2 linked regions of the Oryzias latipes genome follow. The protein of the gene in region 1 purifies or fractionates together with the protein of each later gene. This does not show direct contact. Links are inferred from orthologs where the notes say so. Each region holds a gene or a part of one and is shown in the gene's direction. Other genes may lie near its edges. The genes, in order: eif3e and eif3b.

Region 1 (3,816 bases):
CATCGCTGGAACTGGAGCTGGAGCAACTGATGCTTGAAATATTCATGTTTTCTTTGTATGATTCTGACAAGCACGTAAATACTTGCTCTCTTCTTCTGAGTGAAAAGCGACTTTAAGAAGCGTAAAGTTGCGCAGCGCCACCTTGTGTACAGGAGTATTTCTGTTTTACATTAAGCGCCATCTAATGTCAGGGAATGAAATTGCATGTTCGCTCGGCTCATCGTCAGCGAAATTCGCCTGGGTGTGAACACAAAAAACGTGTTGAAAACCGCTGGCGAATAACGGCTGGCGAAAATTCGTCCCGGTGTGTACGGGCCTTAAGAATGAACGGAGCTTCTTGTTCTGGGTTCCTGTCAGTAGCAAATACTGCTCCATCAACTGCAGTGCCCTCTAGTTGTTGTTGATAGGAAAATAACAAACACAGGCGCATATGTATTTGTAAAACACAGGCGCATATGTATTTGTAAAAAAAAACACTTATAAGTCGCACCCCTTGGCCAAACTATGTGAAAAACTCTGACTTATACTCAGAGAAAAATTCGATATTTCTGAGCAAATCCCATTGAAGCAGGGCTACAGTGAAAACCGTCTAACTGCACATGATGCGGGGACTCCCGCCGGATCCCTTATTTGAGGCCCCAGTAGTGTGTAGGTGTAAGTTAATCAGGAACACAGCATGAAGCATTGTGGTCTTCCTTAAAAGTCAAACAACTACAAAGAGAAGGAGGGAGCTCTCCTAAAAGGAGACCGGTGACGGGCTTTGCCATGTAGCCCACTGCTGTTTTTAGACTCAACATCACAGCTACCACAGGACCCTGTCCCTCTAATTGATCCGGCTAATTAAACTGTTGTCAGGACGGTTGCTTTGAGCGCCATGTGTTCCTCTGGCCATAGCTTTGAGAGACCTTAAGGGGCCCACTTCCTTATTTCTGATCAGATGTGGTCACATATTTAAAGAACCGCTCTGGTGACGCAGGTAATGTACATTTACGACCATCCTGACAAGTAAAGTGGATTTTGCGTGCTGGCGTTGCATGTTTGTACAGGATCCTCTTTCTGAAATAAGTGTGGGATTAGAATCCGCCTGTAACAGCATTGTGTTTCTTGTTTTCAGACTTTAGCAAGTTGACCTGTGGTTGGAGCATCAGTCCCTCATGGATTAAGTTTCTGCTACCGGGCAGGTCCCTGCTCAAGAGCTATATCCCCTTGCCAGGGTTTCCTCTTCCTCCCCCCTTTCTCACAGGACTAATGAAAGAGAAAGCTTTAAGCTGCAGAGATGAAGGTCTTGCTGGAAAATGTATCTGTTTAGCTGCAAAGTATTTTCCCCAATCCCAAATGCCAGGGCCCTGACAGGCAGCCAGAATGTTATATATGTGTCTTTGTAAAGATCATGTCTTTGCTAACATTGCTCTATTAAGTGAATACTTTTTCGTCTGCCCATTTTCAGATATCTCAATGCTATCCAGACAATGTGCCCCCACATCTTGCGTTACCTAACCACAGCGGTCATCACAAACAAGGATGTGCGTAAGCGCCGGCAGGTTCTGAAGGATTTAGTGAAGGTCATACAGCAGGTAACAGACTTTCTTTTTCAAACATCAGGTGCTGAAATAGTCTGAGTTTATTAGGGTCTGAAGGAACAGGAAGCGTCCAGCCCTTCCTGTCAAGCACAGCAGGTGTATCTTAGAGCTTCAGCCTTGCTGGCAACGTCTCTGAACAATTACTTCTGATGAATGGCGGGGAACCACCTGACTTTTATGTTCTATGCCCATTACTTGTTGACCAGTGACAGAGGGACTTCAGAGATCAAAGCTTGTTGCTTTTTACTAAAATGAATGACTAAAAGATGGACTCTGTGTTCTCCTCCTGGTGACCTTGGGTTGGCGAGGAAGTCACTCTTTCCGCTTTGATGAAACTGTCTGAAGATCACAGAGTGTTTTCACTCAGCCTATTTGAATTAGCCTTTGTAGCCAGTGTGCAAATCATTTGTCATGTTGTCTGTGTTATTATTGTTGGCAATTTAATTAAAACAAAACACTGTCTTTTCTTTTCTTTTTTTTACTTTGTAAAGGGGAAAAAAGGGGGAAAAAACTTCTGTTTTGCTGCAATTAGTCCAGAACTTCTTTTTGTTTCAGTAGTGACTTACATGATTTGGGATACATGGAGACATCCCTGAAAAAAAACTGTTTTTGTTTCTTTAGGAGTCTTACACCTACAAAGATCCAATCACTGAGTTTGTGGAGTGTCTGTACGTGAATTTTGACTTTGACAGTGCCCAGAAGAAGCTCAGAGAATGCGAGTCGGTGAGTAGTCTTTTCACTTTTCGTTCTGCCGTTTAACTCCCGTCCAATCAGAAGTAGATGGTCTTGTTTATTGTTCCTTTCCCTAACAAAGTCAAGCTCCTTTGAGAACATCTGTTTTGTGGGTCATGTCTTTGAAGTTTTAACAGTGAACTTTGTGGTAAACATGGTAGTAATGGTGATTTCTCTGGCCCCGTGCCTTTGTCCCTGTGGGTCAGATGAAGACAGAACAGCCGCAGTTTGTGTCTTGTATCGCACTGGCAGATAGGACGGTCTCCTGTATGACTCAGGCTTTAGTCAGCTTCTGCTTGGCTTGTCGTTGACCCATGAGGCCAGTAGTTAACAGTCAGAGCTTTCTAAGCAAAAGTCTCCGCAGACACTTGTTTCTGCTTATTTCAGTTGTGGTCTGTAAAGGTCAAATGTAACCCTGATCCCTGATGTGAAAATAGAACTCGAGTAGTGCAGGATAAAGGTTCTTTTTGTTTGTGAAGGACAAAGCTGAACAGAGTCAATGTGGTGACTTTTACTACTGAGGGCAGAAAACCTGTTGTAACAAACCCATTTCTGGATTGTTTTTGTGTTTTTAGGTTTATTTAAAAGAGATTAAAAACAGCTTCATTGGTAAAGACATCATATTTTACAGTATCTTACACAAATTGGTAAATATTGCTCTTGCCTCTCATATTTTAGGCTTACTTGTAGCAGATCCATTAGAGACCATAAACTGCTATGAACCTCGTCTTTTTCTTCATCAGGCCGTCATAACTCTTTGACCTTTACACAATTAACGTAAAGCAATGATTCTTAAGCAAAGAAAAGCAGCTTCCGGTTCTGTTGGAAATATGTTAATTGTGTAAAAAGTCGAAGAGTTGCGCTGGTTCAAAGAGTGTCAGCACCAGAGCTAAAGTTGCGGTCTTGAAGGATTAAAGAGTCGGGTGGTTTCCAGAATGTTTAACAGCCCCTTTTCAATGGATTTCCTGTAATGGCCTGCAAGGATGAACATTGTCCTAAGTGTTTCTTGGTTGAGGTCCAGAAGCATCTATTATTCACATCAAAGCTTGACAAGAAGGTAGCAAAGACATTTTTTTTTCAGTGGTTAACGTACACAGGTTACGTCTCTGTGATGAACACAGATTTTAAAAGAGTTTCACTCGTCTTTTTTATGATGAAGATGGCTGCAAAAACAAGAATTGGGTTTTTATTTTTAAGCTCTTGTGACTTTGGTTTGCTCCCCACCCTGAAATGGCTCAACTCATGTGTTTCTAATGGGATGCTTAGCTCTACCCAAATTGTTCTGTTTGGGCTTTACAGGTTCCCTTTTCTTCTTTTCCCACTCTTCTGGTTTCTGAAATCATTGTCAGATGTCAGATGAAGGCACGTCAAGGAGCGAGAAGTAGAGGCTACCAATAGTTAGGCCCTTAGATTGCACACAAAATAACTCTTCAAGCCAAAATTTGTGTGAATGTGGCCTTAAACCAAGATGACAATAATTAGAGTACTTAGCTGTTTAAAGTTT
Region 2 (4,539 bases), on another chromosome or scaffold:
CTCAGCAGCAGCCACTAAACCAGTGAGTTTGAGGGCAAAGGAGATGATGCTGGACTCTGCAGCTCTGCTGGAAACTACAGTTGATATGAAGCCCTGCAGACATGGGTTGACCTCCAGCAGAGACACGCCTTCAACAGGAGGAGACACAGTCAAAGAGTGTGATAACAGAAACATTCAAGACCCACTCCAGTGAAAATAGTGTTTTGGGGTTTTTTAACGTGTTGTTGTAGTAATTTTCTTATGATGGAACACATATATAAACAAAAGAAAACTAAAATGGCATTTTTTGAGTATATCTTTATTCAAATCGTTGTGAATCAGGAGCACACAAAATGTCGTTAGAGAAAGCTATCTTTTGAAACACAGTAAGTGAGATGGGTGGGCTACAAGCTCCCTGCTCTGCTCCATTGATGCATCCACATGCAGACAAAGAAATCCATGTCTATCTGGATCAAAATTGTATGCCTGGAAATGGATAGCTTTAATATTGCTCGCTATTATTGTTTCACAGATAATGTTAGGTTGGGGTTGTGAGGGGCTGTAAGCCACCAGAAGAGAGTGTTAACAAAGGGATGATGGGAAATCAGCAGAAGCTTACTTCCGCCAACTCAGATGCAAATTTCTAAGAGGTTTTGCTGCTTTGCAGAAACTATGTCCTTAAAAAAATAACAGTTTCCTTTAAAATTGTTACCAAAAAAGGCATAATCATAATTGAAAGACCACTGGGAAGTATTTTACAACTGATCAAAAGATGATTTTAATGGGACCTGAACTTCTACTTCTCTTCATAAATAATTATTAAATGTACTTCAATTTTAAATTTCAAATATTTCCAGGAATTTATGTGCAAATTATATCCCGGCCAAATTGAATTCACATAAACAAAGAAAACTGCGCCAGACTGGCTGGGAAGAACTCGTAGTATGGGGAACAGCTCCCAGAACTAACCCGATTTGCTGAATGTTGTGAACCAGTCCAGCAGTTTTTCCAGGCTTGTATCATCGGGCAAAGAGCTTCTCGGGGCCGCCAGAACGTCACAGACCCGCGGCAGGAGAGACACACAGTCTCCATCCATACTGAAGAATGGCCGGGAAAACCCAACATACACCAAGTTTGGAGCTCACGTCACGATAACTAACTCAAACCTTCGAATCGTCGATATTGAAATTCATCAAAAGCGAAAATCATATAGCTAAACCAAAAAACCTTTATAAAAGTAAATGGATAAAAAGTGAATTACTTTCATGTGGCAATTTTGTAGTCAGTATTTGAGACATATTGCGAGTAACTCTAAAAAAGAAGTAGTTTTCAACAATTTACTGGCAGGTGACTCCCCTTATGTTGCTAGCAAAAGTAGCTTCTACTACCGTTCGATCTGTATTCATCTCGATGCAGTAAATCTAATTGAGCATTCGTTGTTGTCGCTCCTCCATTTGTTTTACAACTTTGCGATTTCACGATGGTCCGTAAACGCGCCTCTGACCCGCTTCCGGCGTCACGTTTCCGCCTCTTCGTCCATTTTCGCACATGGTGCCTCACCGGTCGTTCGTTGTTAGCCTCTCATTTTCCGGGATTTTGCGCCTCTGTAAAGGTTTTTCAGAACCGCAGTCCCATTAAATGCGAAATACAGTTGATATGGTGGACGACCCAGAGTATGAGGAGGAGGAGGAGCCTTCCTTCAGCGACCCGGAGGACTTCGTAGATGATGTCGAGGATGAGGGTAAGCGCTAGCAGGAAAAGCGCCGGCTGTAGGCCTATTGCTAACTGCTAGCTAAAAAGCTAGACGGACCGTTGCTTTTGACATATTTGCAGATGCTGTCAGTTTGACATTTTCTTTAGGCGAAAGAATGGACTAGTTAAGCCGTATTAGTCTCGACAGAGTTAATTGGAAGGTTTTATCAACCAAGAAACACACGAACAATCGGTTTTCTTGTCTATCATGATCATGAACGCCGTTCATTCAGTCATCATACCAGATGCTATACCGTCAGTTTTTAAGTCGATGAGTTAAAGGGGAAATTAGCATCTTTAGTTGTCTTTTAAGTCAATTTGACAAATATATAAATTGATGAATTTACGTCACTACTCTTGTCTTGTTGTGACATTTTGAAAGGTTTGAATTAAATATGCTCTTTTGTTATTTCACAATATACTTCATGGCATTAACAAAGCTCACATTTTTTTTTAACCACATAGAGACACAGCATCCAAATGGATTTCATATAATCTAGACTACTTAAAATTGTCTGGAGGATTATTTAAACTGAACTTGGGTGATTACATTTGCAGAAGTAATTTACAGATTAACCAAAGAACCTACCTCTTAAAGGAAGAAGTGAAGCAGATAGATCAGGGGTCTGCAAGCTTTAGTGCTGAAAGAAGCACATGATGGTCCAGTTTATTTTACACCAAAACCCAGTGAGAGCCTCACTTTTCTGTTTATTTTCTGTTTATGTTAAAAGAAAAAGAAGAAAAAAATCACATTTTTTGTGGCCATCAAGCCATTCATTCATAAAAAGTAGCTTTAAAAATTGGAATAATATAATTATAACAGTGTTACATTACTATTATATACCTTTTGACAGCAGCGCATACAAATTCCTTTCAAAATAAAATGCATCCGGTATAAAGTAAGATCTTGCTGCAAATGTACTGAAAGAACTTTGTCTTTGAACAGCAACTAAACAAAAGGTAAGAATATGAGTTTAAACTAATTCCAATTATAAACCACTCTGACAATAGATCCAACCCTTTGCCATTATTTTGGTTTGTTTTCTGATGTTTGCTATTTAGGGGAATGGTAAACCTTCCAGTGGCTGTTGATTTAGTTTAATATCACCATTGGTTAAAAAATGTATAAGTGAATTTTTATTTATGTAAGATTACCACAGTTTAAAAATCTAATAATAAATGAAAACACTTAAATATCAAGTCTATTATTTATTCAAATTGTTCTTCAAAGCCACAGAGCCACAATCGAGGGACAAAATGAAGCATTTTCTGTTAACCTAAACTTGTAAAAGACATTCCTAGTGATATGAAATCATTAATATATATATTTTAAAGTAATTTGTATTAAAGTAAACTATAAAACACTGTAAAAAGTTTCATTTTTTAAAATGCTCTCAACTCTGCGCTCTTCACTTTCCAGAGCTCCTTGAAGACATCTTGCGTGAGAAGCCTCAGGAAACGGACGGCATAGACTCTGTGGTGGTGGTGGACAACGTTCCTCAGGTGGGGCCGGAGCGGCTGGAGAAACTCAAGAACGTCATTCACAAGATCTTCTCCAAGTTCGGCAAGATCACAACTGAATTTTATCCCGAAGCTGATGGCACGACCAAAGGGTAAAGGCCTCCGTTCTCTTATGTAGCTGTAGTTGCAGACTTGGAGTTGATGTGCTTACATGCAGTAACTTTTTTTTTTGTCCGCGTAGATACATCTTCTTGGAATATTCCTCTCCTAACCAGGCCTTGGAGGCGGTGAAAAATGCGGATGGATACAAACTTGACAAACAGCATACATTCAGGGTCAACCTCTTCACTGACTTTGACAAGTATGTTTGCAGGATCACAGCACTTCAGTTCCTGCAAATTATGTGATGTATTTAAGTGAGTAATTCCTGCCTTTTTTTTTCAGGTACATGAACATCAGTGATGAGTGGGACCCTCCAGCAAAGCAGCCCTTCAAAGACTTTGTGAGTGTGACTTTTGGTTAAGTGTAATTTATCAGTTTTGTTTCCCTAAGAATTGCGATGTGACGGCAGGATTCTAAAATGTTCATTTGACCAAAGGGGAATATGCGTCACTGGATAGAGGATCCAGACTGTCGTGACCAGTACAGTGTGATCTACGAGGCTGGAGAGAGGACTGCCATTTTCGCAAATGACGCCAAAGAGCCAATTCTGGCTGAAGAAAGGGCGGCAAGTTACTTTTTATATTACCGTTAAATTGGACGTAGCCAAATAAGTGGTTCTTAATACCCATGTTTATTCAGAATAGTATGAGAAATGTAATAGATTTTCTTTCTGTTGGGATGCAGCGTTGGACAGAGACCTACGTTCGATGGTCTCCTAAAGGCACCTACCTGGCCACCTTTCACCAACGTGGCATTGCATTGTGGGGCGGTGAGAAGTTCAAGCAGATTCAGAGATTCAGCCACCAGGGCGTGTCCCTCATCGACTTCTCACCATGTGAGAGGTAATCCAAAACGTGCCTTCTTTAGGTTTCATCCCGAAAAAGCTCATTCTGAGGAGGAGCAGAGCTCATCTCTGTGTTGGGGATCATTTAAAATGAAACACCTGAGTTTTCCCAAAGTTCACGTGTGCTTCCAATGTGCAGGTATGTTGTGACCTTCAGTCCCTTGATGGACACTAAGGAGGACCCTCAGGCCATCATCATCTGGGACATTCTGACTGGACAGAAGAAGAGAGGCTTCCACTGCGAGAGCTCAGCACACTGGCCAATATTCAAGTCAGCACTTGACCTCTGATTGTGTCTGAATTTGAGCAGACATGCCAGACTTCTATCATATTTAAGTGAC

Evidence for each region.
Region 2: the proteins of eif3e (region 1) and eif3b purify together in Homo sapiens (affinity purification with mass spectrometry; 9 studies listed by BioGRID and IntAct, counting the BioPlex papers as one, with this or other methods). This does not show direct contact. The link is inferred for Oryzias latipes from reciprocal best matches to the Homo sapiens genes EIF3E and EIF3B.

What each region holds. Positions count from the first base shown.
Region 1 is NC_019874.2:3,403,519-3,407,334, reverse strand, and holds part of eif3e (eukaryotic translation initiation factor 3 subunit E), read left to right. Parts: intron 1-1,447; coding exon 1,448-1,574; intron 1,575-2,201; coding exon 2,202-2,303; intron 2,304-3,816. UniProt on the Homo sapiens protein: Component of the eukaryotic translation initiation factor 3 (eIF-3) complex, which is required for several steps in the initiation of protein synthesis.
Region 2 is NC_019859.2:21,375,229-21,379,767, forward strand, and holds the start of eif3b (eukaryotic translation initiation factor 3 subunit B), read left to right. Parts: upstream 1-1,617; coding exon 1,618-1,720; intron 1,721-3,151; coding exon 3,152-3,344; intron 3,345-3,433; coding exon 3,434-3,553; intron 3,554-3,636; coding exon 3,637-3,694; intron 3,695-3,790; coding exon 3,791-3,919; intron 3,920-4,038; coding exon 4,039-4,196; intron 4,197-4,337; coding exon 4,338-4,469; intron 4,470-4,539. Other genes in the region: brat1 (BRCA1-associated ATM activator 1), read right to left, coding at 1-128, 949-1,075.